Caenorhabditis elegans: one gene and its partner. The protein of the gene in region 1 interacts with the protein of each later gene in a pairwise test. Each region holds a gene or a part of one and is shown in the gene's direction. Other genes may lie near its edges. The genes, in order: nhr-114 and gpa-13.

What was found.
Region 2: the proteins of nhr-114 (region 1) and gpa-13 interact in binary tests that used the Caenorhabditis elegans proteins (3 or more experiments, as listed by UniProt).

Annotation. Positions count from the first base shown.
Region 1 is NC_003283.11:4,185,298-4,190,737, forward strand, and holds nhr-114 (Nuclear hormone receptor 114), read left to right. Parts: upstream 1-1,905; 5' UTR 1,906-1,911; coding exon 1,912-2,095; intron 2,096-2,309; coding exon 2,310-2,512; intron 2,513-2,710; coding exon 2,711-3,049; intron 3,050-3,104; coding exon 3,105-3,235; intron 3,236-3,311; coding exon 3,312-3,433; intron 3,434-3,485; coding exon 3,486-3,600; exon of another isoform or gene 3,601-3,713; intron 3,714-4,404; coding exon 4,405-4,567; 3' UTR 4,568-4,707; downstream 4,708-5,440. Other genes in the region: Y45G5AM.9 (Aftiphilin clathrin-binding box domain-containing protein), read right to left, coding at 4,719-4,850. UniProt on the Caenorhabditis elegans protein: Probable transcription factor which may have a role in detoxifying dietary metabolites arising from bacterial tryptophan metabolism.
Region 2 is NC_003283.11:12,751,798-12,756,730, reverse strand, and holds gpa-13 (Guanine nucleotide-binding protein alpha-13 subunit), read left to right. Parts: upstream 1-1,791; 5' UTR 1,792-1,837; coding exon 1,838-1,867; intron 1,868-1,940; coding exon 1,941-2,102; intron 2,103-2,190; coding exon 2,191-2,284; intron 2,285-2,337; coding exon 2,338-2,522; intron 2,523-2,899; coding exon 2,900-3,054; intron 3,055-3,199; coding exon 3,200-3,328; intron 3,329-3,383; coding exon 3,384-3,513; intron 3,514-3,559; coding exon 3,560-3,713; intron 3,714-3,799; coding exon 3,800-3,969; 3' UTR 3,970-4,128; downstream 4,129-4,933. Other genes in the region: C15C8.8 (uncharacterized protein), read left to right, coding at 4,333-4,449, 4,728-4,835. UniProt on the Caenorhabditis elegans protein: Guanine nucleotide-binding proteins (G proteins) are involved as modulators or transducers in various transmembrane signaling systems.

The DNA of each region.
Region 1 (5,440 bases):
TGAGACTTTCTGACACTACGTGAAGTTGGATTTTTGCAATCTTCCGCGATTTTTTTTTCATTTTGTTTGTGATTTTTTAAAGAAATTTAGGACAATTTTGGATTTTTGCAAAAAGTCGCTTTGAAGTCTGAATAAAAGCATTTTCGGCGTATCCTGCGCGCATGGGTCTCGCCACGCTGACATCGAAAAAAAAAATTCTGAGAATGCTGCGTATTGTGCAACACATTTGCCGCGCAAAATATCTCGCAGCGAAAAAGAAAACTACAGTAATCGTTTAAATGGCTACTGTAGTGCTTTTGTGTCGATTTACGGGAGATCGATTCTTTAATTAAATTCTTCTTTTCAAATATTACCGGTACAGAGAGTGTAGATAGTTGAATGGACACAGACATTCCGGAACCCAAGGGGCGGGGCGCGGGAAGAGACGATTTTTGTCGATTTACGGAGTGTTTTTATTCACAAACTCTCCGTAAATCCATACAAATCGGCTCTTCCCGCAACCTTGGGTTCCGGAATATCTGTGTCCATTCAACTTTCCTCATTCTCTGGACCGGCAATATTCGAAAAGAAGAATTCATTTCAAAAATCGAGCTCGTAAATCGACACAGAAGCACTACAGAAGTCATTTAAACGATTACTGTAGTCTTCTTTTTCGCTACGAGATGTTTTGCGCGTCAAATATGTTATGCAATACGCATTCTCAGAATTTTTTGTACAAATATTGATGTTTTTATTTTAATCATAAGATGGTTAAATTTACCAACAACTAATTCTTAAATTGATTAGCACTTATCAGTGTCTTATCAGCAATCAAATGACCAAAACATCTAATAGGACGAATTTTCGCCTATTTCTCAGCAACTAACAATGCAACTTTCTCATTCTTCATGTCTCCTGTATCATAGACAAATTGATTAGCTCACGTAGTGCCAGACGGTCCCATTACGGTTTGATCTACAAAAAATGCGGAAATTTTCGCCCAAAAAAATGTGTGACGTCAGTACGTTTTTAACCATCCGAAAACAGTTGAGAACTCTGCGTTTCTTCTCACCCGCATTTTTTGTAGATCAACGTAGATCAATCCAAAATGAGACACTCTGCCACCACGTGTAGCTTCTTCTTCTGCTGCTGCTGCTACAGTCTGTGTGTACAAAAGTCTTCTCACATAGTAGGTAGGTGCAGACTTCTTTCTTTATCAAATCTTCCCTTCTTCAACATTACATGGCGTGGTTTTCTCGTGGCATTTTCCAAGAGAGGCTCCACCCCCCCCCCCCCCCCCATCGCATGTACTTTGTTCATTGGTCAAGAAGAATCGTATATAACGGGCAGCGATAACGTCCCAAATCTTTGTCGTATGACGACGGGGACGATCGGAAATTGAGAGGAGGAGGGGGTAGTGTGAAAAATACATGAGGACGCGATGAAGCTGCTGGTCAGCAGCAGGCCCCAAGCCACTGTGTTTTATTGCAAGACAGTTCGATCTTCACGTTGATATCAGACATATATAGAATATACATCTCAAGGTCTTCTATTCTCATTTCTTAGGCAGCCTGTTAATATGTTGATAATGAACAATCATTTGACCGCCCGTTTTTCCGAGTCACTTCATCAAGGACTTGATTTCTTTCCAAAAAAACTTCCAAAACCACCCAGCAAATCATTGTTTCAAAAAAAGTTTGCTCAAATGATTAGAAATCAAAAGTTCAAATGTTTTTTTGCAACAGCTGTCCCTAGCCTGTCTCACATCACAGTTCAATTGTTGTAGTTTACCTCTCCTCTTCTCCTTCATTTTATCTCTAAAACGCATCGATTCGGGGGCACTTTGCATTTGTTATCGTGTCTAGTGTCTCTTGGCATTATTCTCGTTGTCACAAAAAAAACCAATACAAACAAGGCGTATTTCAGGTCAAAATGACACCTCAATCGTCTCCGAGCTCGTCTCGTGATCACGTTTGTCTCGTTTGTCAAGATTTCGCTTCTGGCTACCATTATGGTGTCCCGTCATGTGTCGGATGCAAGACATTTTTCCGGCGAACAATTATGAAGAAACAAAAGTACATTTGCCAATTCGAGGGCAATTGTCCAGTTGATAAAAGTGAGTTATTTAGCACACTTGGTGTCAGGCTGTCCCATTTCGGTTTGATCTACAAGAAATGCGGGGATTTTTCGCCCAAAAAATGTGACGTCAGCACGTTCTTAACCATGCGGAATCAGTTCCGCAATTCTCGTAGATCAAAACGAAATGGGACACTCTGACACCACTTGTTAGCAGTAACAAGGAACTTATAAAAAATATTTCAAAAGTTCAGCTATCCGCTGTGCCTGCCGATACTGCCGATTCGAGAAATGTTTGAGCGTGGGAATGGACCGAAACGCCCTCCAACAAAACCGTGACCCTATCGGATACACAAAACGTACCAGGCGTCCAAAAAAAGAGCTGAAGACTACCTCGGACTGTTCAAGTGACGAAGGAGCAAGCACCCCACCATCAGTGTCTCCATTACAGCTATCGGTAATTAATTAGTCCAATTACGGTTTGATCTACAAAAAATGCGAGAATTTTTTTGCCCAAAAAATGTGTGACGTCAGCACGTTCTCAACCATGCAAAATCAGTTGAGAACTCTGCGTCTCTTTTCCCGCATTTTCTATAGATCTACGTAGATCAAGCCGAAATGAGAAACTCTGACACCACGTGATCCCAAATTACAGCCTCCACCAATCTCGCCACTCCTTTTCCAAGCTGCACCACTGAAACCTCGTCGCTGCATCCTACAAACTCTTGCCGAACGCGAAAAGTGTGCAAATGATCTCCGACTCTCCGAATATCTTCCAATCCGATCTCTCCACGAGGCTCTATGCTCAAAGGCTCTGCTGAACGACACGGCTTTTTTGGAAAAGTGGGGACAGCCGAGTGAGAGACATCAGATCTTCGATCTACGATTCGTCAATCACGACGACTACCACTATTGGCACGAGAGAGACTGGTTCTTGTTGACAGAGTATGCCAAAACATTCGATGTTTTTGAGGCGCTCGATTATCAAGATAAGGTTGGAAGAAAACCAGAAACATGTATAACGATTTAATTATTTCAATCCTTTCCAGGCCGAACTTGTTCGCCATGCCGCAATAACAGTCCCAGTCCTGGTTCAAGTCTGGAACTCCCCGGACTACGGACCAGACACAATTGTATTCCCAGATGGTGCCTACTTCGATCGTACTCCAGAGCCAACCCGGTAAGTTGTCGGTCACATATACTCCAAACCGAGCCCCAATTCCCGTCTCGTTCCGCGTTGTGTTCAATCGTTATAGGCCAGCCGGACTCAACAGGAAAAAGTATCAAATGTTGGATCTCGTGCTCAAGCCGTTCCGTGATCTACAGCTCGACGCAACCGAATTTGCAGCGTTCAAAGCGGTAACGTTTCTGAATCCAGGTCCGGGCGGAATCTCAATAAGAGCCAAACTTTCACTTTGATGCGATTCCAGACGCTGACATCTCTCTACCGGCTCGCAAGCTTGTGAACAACGAACGAGTCCGCATCACCAAGCAGTTATACGGCTACATGGCCATGAAAGACGACGTGGACACGGCAATCGAAAGGTTGGTGAAATCACGTTTTTCCTTCCTTTGATGCATTCATCTATTACTCGCTTGTCGATCAAATCAAACATTGATAGATCACAATTTGATGTGTCTTGTTGCGGACTAGCTAAGTAAGCTAAGTTGGAACACTTTGACCAAAATTTCGGTAAATTCTCTAAATTTTGCTAAATTTTCAAATTTTTGGTAAAATGCTAAAATTTTGGTAAATTCTCAACATTTTGGTAAAATGCTAAAATTTTGGAAAAATTCTCACAATTTTGGGAGGCACCACGGAAACGAGAACATGTGAAAAAGGAGAATTACGAAAAGGAGAACACAAAACCACGCCTATTTATCCGTGCCGAGCGCAAGTTTTTGCATAAACTTGTGCAAATTTTTATTTTCAAACGAGACAACGAAGATCCGAACTAACGAATTCGTGTGATAAACAACACGCGATACGTTCTTTCGGAGCTTCGCGTTATCTCGTTTGAAAATAAAAATTTGCACAAGTTTCTGCAAAAACTTGCGCGCGGCATGGAAAAATGGGCGTGGTTTTGTGTTCTCCTTTTCGTAATTCTCCTTTTTCACATGTTCTCCTTTCGGTGGTGCCTCCAAAAGTTTTGGCAATTTATTAAAAAATTGGCAATTTACCAAAATTTTAAGAATTTACCAAAATTTTGAACATTTCCCAAAATTTAGGCAATTTATCAAAAAATTGGCAATTTATTAAAATTTTGAGAATGTACCAAAAGTTCGGCAATTTACCAAAATTTTTAGCCCCCGGCACTGATAGATCACAATTTCATCCCCGTGTTGCAGATTCGCACGATTGGTTCTGATGGGAACGTCCATGTCAAAAATGGCGTGCGAATCGAAAGAGGCCGTGTGGATTGCAGACTTTTTCGAGAATATCGGCTTCTCGGCGTTTGCCCGGCAACTGTTTTTCGGTGATACGACGAGCGTTGTTGCTCACAAATTGTGAAGTGAATAAATTTAAATTTAATAAATTAATTTCCAGAAATATTTACACGCTTGAAAAAAAATCTCAATGCTAATCCTATTTATATACGTTTATTATTATTTTTTTTTTTTGGTATTTTTTTTGCAATAAAGTTTTAACTTTTTTTTCTTACCGCCTGAATTGGTGCAGCAGCAACAACGGCTTCTCCAAAATCTCCCCACTCATCGTCGTCATCGTCTTCTTCTTTCTGTATTTCCGAATTTTGAAATCCCGTAAATTCGTCCTGTGATAATGCAGTCGTCATCTGAAATTACGGGATTTTTGGGGTAAATTTTTGGCAAAATTAGTTCAATTTTTAGAACATTTTTTGACAAAAAAAATTGATTGCAAATTTTAATTTCAAAATGTTGCATTGCTATTTTAAAGTTGATTGAAGGTTTTTGTTCATAATTCAAAGCAGGGGTCGGGGGCAAACGATTTTTCCGGCAAATCGGCAAACTGACAATTTGTCGAAAATGACATTTTCTGGCAAATCGGCGAAATTGCCGGAATTGAAAATTTCCGGCAAATCGGAACACCGGCAATTTGCCGAAAACGAAAAATTCCGGCAAACCGGCAATTTCCCGAAAACGAAAAATTCCGGCAAACCGGCAATTTCCCGAAAACGAAAAATTCCGGCAAATCGGCAAAACCGGCAATTTTCCACAAATCAAAATTTCCGGCAAACCGGCAATTTACCGAAAATGAAAATTTCCGGCAAACCGGCAATTTGCCAAAAATGAAAATTTCCGGCAAACCGGCAATTTGCCAAAAATCAAAATTTCCGGTAAATCGGCAATTTGCCAAAAATGAAAATTTCCGGCAAACCGGCGATTTGCCAAAAATCAAAATTTC
Region 2 (4,933 bases), 8.6 Mb from region 1:
AGACTTTTCAGGTTGGCACCGTTTATTTACAGGTGCCAATAAAAAGTGGCGTTTTCATGTTCTAATCTACGATATACGATATACGATACTCGTTTTGATTTGAATTATTAAAAAAATTCATATCAAGCATCAAAATTTAACAAGTTCCTTCGGGAGGATTAACCATCTCGTCTCAAATTTTTCATATACTGACTCACAGAAATTAATCTTGTAAAATCTAACCCAACTGCTTGTGAATTAATCTAATCTCTAAAGATACCTTCTGAATTCGTCAACCTTTTTCCTCCAATTTCTTCCATTGAGACGACGACATCTAATCTCGTTTTCTTTCTCACGAGCCACATTGATTTATGTGATAGAGTGAGCCCACTGGGGTGCTATGCTTTTTCACTTTTTTCTTTTCAGCTCACACTCCGTTCTACGTCTCTCATGTCAATTTTCAAACCATATCATTAAATATTTATTGACTTTATAAAACATGTCATTTGCTTATAGAAACATTTTATTCTAAAGTGTGATTGGAATGAAAATTTGAAGCAGTGACTGCAAAATATGTATCTTCGCAAAGGAGAACTACCGTATACAGATAATCCCTTACAAAATTTTGTATTTAAATATGGGCGGAATGGAAGAACTATATACCCGATATTTTAGATTTTAGATTTTTAAACTCAAATCTCTGCAATTAATACTAACTGAACGAATTCTGATATTGCTTATGATATTGCTTAAATACACATATGTATTTGAGCACAGATTTTAGCAGTACGTTCAACAATGGTGTTCAAAAATAACTCAATTGTATGGTATCTTTCTGAAGCTTAGTAAAAATAATTTCAAACTGAGATCAGCTGTCAGTGAAGCTGAATTCGTCATTAATTTCTAGGTTTGTTGGCCACTTGGCTTGAATTTAAATTTTAATTATAATAGGAATTCAATTAAGAAGCGATAATTGGTGGTTTGCAGCAGGGGTGTGCGGCAAATTTGCCGAATTTGCCGAATTTGCCGTTTGCCGAGCTCGGCAAATTTGCCGAATTTGCCGTGCTCGGCAAATATTGAAAAAAGAGATTTGCCGAATTTGCCGAGCTCCGCAAATTTTGAGATTTGCCGCACACCCCTGGTTTGCAGTTAAAGCAAATTTATACAACTAGACAAACTCAGAAAACTTGCACGCGTTCATAATCATAACCAAACTTGGGGAAGTTTTTTTTGTCCAAGAATAAACATGAAAGGAGGGAAACTGTACTTGTCGCGTTATTGAAAAAATTTGTAACTTTTACAAATATTTTTGATAAACTAAGTTTGAAAAAGACTAAAAAATATTCACTTTTAAGACATTAGTATTCTTGCAGTCATTCATGTATGAAATGACATGGAAAAATATTTCGTGGTTTGATTTTTCATACGTATGTTGACTAAGTTTGGATTGTATGTAATCTTGAAACGAATAATATTTTCTGATCCAACCGATCTCTTTTTACACACTTCCCAATTCAACTAAAGTTTCTGAAAAAACCAAAAGCGGTAGTGGTTTTTATTTCCTCAAAGTACGTGGATTTCATCCAATCGACCAGGTATTATATTCCTTGGCTTACTGACTGACTCTCTTTCTTTTATTTTTCTGCTCTTTTCCATTTGTATGAAAAATATATCCGCGACGATGAAAGGAAGGAAATCGGGTGGAATTGCGTTCCTATTCATCTTTTTTCAGGCACTTCTTCGTTTTTCTTTTTCATCAGAATTCGTTTTTTTTTTGTTAAAAAAAAATAAATTATTGTAATAGAATGAATGCCAATTTTCAGCTTTATCAGTTTAGGAAATGTGGTGAGCAATTGCAATGGGTTGCAACTTTTCTTCTCAAAGTAAGGTAAGCTTTTTGGATTTTAGTAATTTAACTTTTTTTGTTTTTTTTTGTTGTTGTCAAAACTTAATTGGTTCAGGTGTCTGATGTTCCGGCTGCTTGTGACAAACCAATACCGGAACCTGATGTGATAGGAAAAGAAGAGAACATTGAGCCAATTGAGCATTCAGCGGAAAAAGAAGTTGTTGAAAAAAAGGAATCTACACCTGTTCCACCACCATCTATTTCTCCACAAGTTGCGGTATGTATTTTGAAGCAATTATAGGAGGCCACCGTTATTATAATCAATTTTTTGAGATCACCTCAATTCAATTCATGTCTATTTTCAGCTCCAAGTTCCCGAAATTCGTGCATCTCGTTCAATTACTCCCGCTTCTCAGAAATCGGAAGATCCATACAGCCATATTAGACTACTTCTTCTCGGTAAATTTGTATTCATTTTCAATTCCATTTTAATCCAATTCTATTCATTTCAGGATCCGCAGAAAGCGGAAAAACAACCGTTTTGGAGCAAGTCCGGTTGCTCTATAAACAACATTTCACAGAGTCTGAATATTTTCATCGACGTGCATTCATCTATCACAATATTTTCAAAAGTATCAAAGCGTTATGTCGTGCCATGAGAATGTCCGATATTCAATTTGCAGACCCAATCAATATGGTATTATTATTTTAAAAAGAATTTGGAATTAAATTTATATTCAGTATTATTCTACTTTGACAGATCATATCTCAGTTGGATTTTGTTTTAACAAAAAATTGTGAACTGACATAATACCTGAAAAATATTTTTCTACATTTTCACAGTAATTTTTTTGTGGATAAGACTTAAAACAACCAAGATATGAGCCGTTAAAGTAAAACAAAGGAGGGCGCAAATATAATAGGAAAAATACGGTACATCGAAGCTTTTTTTTTCGTAAATTGGTAAATAAGTTGGTCTTCGTGACCGTTTATCAATTTCTAAAAATGAGGGAACTTGAACTATAATATTGAAACCTAAAAGAAATTACGAAAAACTCATCTATATATTTGCAGGGTCGTGCTCAATCCATAATAGCTGATGAACATGGTCATTATGGTTTATTCTCAAAAGATTTGGCTGAAAAGATAAAACACATTTGGAATGACAAATCTATGCAAAAACTTTACGCTCGACGGAGTCAATTTAATTTGAATGATTCAGCATCTTAGTGAGTTGCATTTCCCTGTCTTTCGAATTCAGAACATTTATGATCATAAGAGCAAAATTTTGCGCTTTTCACAAGTGCAAGAATAATTTCCAGACTTTTTGAAACTAATCCTTTTCATCCAGAAGATTACCATTTTTAATTGCAGTTTTCTTAACAATATCGATAAGATAAATATGGTGGATTATAAGCCGTCTGAAAGAGATCTCATCATGGCTTATGTTCCAACTTGTGGTGTTCAAAATGTCATATTTACTGCTTGTAATCAATCTTTTCAGTGAGTCACATTTTCCTTTGAGGAATTGAAGCGGAAATCAAAAAAAAAGTTACAGATTATTTGATATTGGTGGACAGAAAATTGATAGACGGAAGTGGGCTTTACAATATGAAGGGATTGATGCAATATTCTTTTGCATCGCAATTTCTGAATATGATCAAGTGATGAGCGAGGATATGGTTACGGTAATTTCAAACTTCGTAAGAGGAATCTATAAATTATTAATTTTAGAATCGATTAGATGACGCTCTGAATTTGTTGCAATCAATCAGTGAAGACCCAGCGTTTGCAACAACTCCAATCTATTTGTTTTTGAATGAAATTGATGTTTTCTGTGAAAAACTCAGCGTCATTCCATTATCAAAGTATAAACCGGATTTTAAAGGTAAGGATATTACGGAGAGTCTCATATAAAATTGGTGTTGAAATCAAGTTAAATTATTTATATAAGTGCCTTACCTTCTGTTTCAGGTGGTGATCAAGATGATGCAATAGACTTTATGGAAAATCTTGCATGCGAAGCTCTTGGTAAACGTGACAGGTCCCTATACCGTGTCTATCGATGTATTGCAATTGACACACAAATGATGGCCGAATTGTTATCAACTGTGTTTAAAGATATTGCAAAAAGAAAGAAATAACTACTGTTTGTATAATATTTAATTTATATTTTTAATTGAAATCCAATCAATTCATCACATGTAATTTTATTTAATTCCCACACTTGTCAACACTTATGTTGTCACCCAATAAACGAAAGGAAAACGTTGCAAAAAAGTGAAAGAGAAAGATTTATTCTTTGGTTTTTCACAGTGTTTCTTGAAAAAAGAAAGACGATTGATTAGATATGCTAATAACATACCGGTCTAAATCTTAATATCTCTCTGCGCCTTTTAATTATACACACTTTGTAAATGCCGATGGTATCTTCTTTAACATTAAGTTTATTTAAGTGAAAATTATTTTTGCTAAAAAGAAATCAGCAGTTCCTAGTATTGCGAATAATGATATCATTAACTTCTATTGTCATTCTTTTTTTCACTGAAGCTGTAGTGCCAGTAGAAAAGAAACCAAGAAGAATGAATGCTGCTGCTGCTTCACCAAAACTATCTACTTGTCAGGTATGAAAAATCCAATAATGTGTAACATTGAAAAAATAGAAATATTAGAACTCATAACAAGAACATTTCTTCAAAACTTTTAAAAAACTTCACAGAATCCTGTTTTATCAGTTAAATTGTAGCTCAGGTGTAATGCGAATTAGTTGTTTGAAAATTATGAAAAATACTTTTTGGAAAATTTAGCTAGCTCTTTGTATTGAAGGACAAAACAGTTTCGGAAAAAAAGTCATTTTTGGAACTGTACATCTTGGATACATAATTTCAAAAAATAATTTCAGTGGGTTTTCGGTAATGGAACCATTGCCTCAATGCCAAAAAAATGGACTCCAGTCTATGCTCTTTCTTCACAATCTTCAACCTCATCATCTAGTCAAACATCATCATAAATCTTTTCCCTTTTACCAAATTATCTCCAGATGTGTTCTACCACATTTTTTCCCGTCCTCCATTTATTTTCATTTTTCAACTTTCCTTTCTTTTCTCA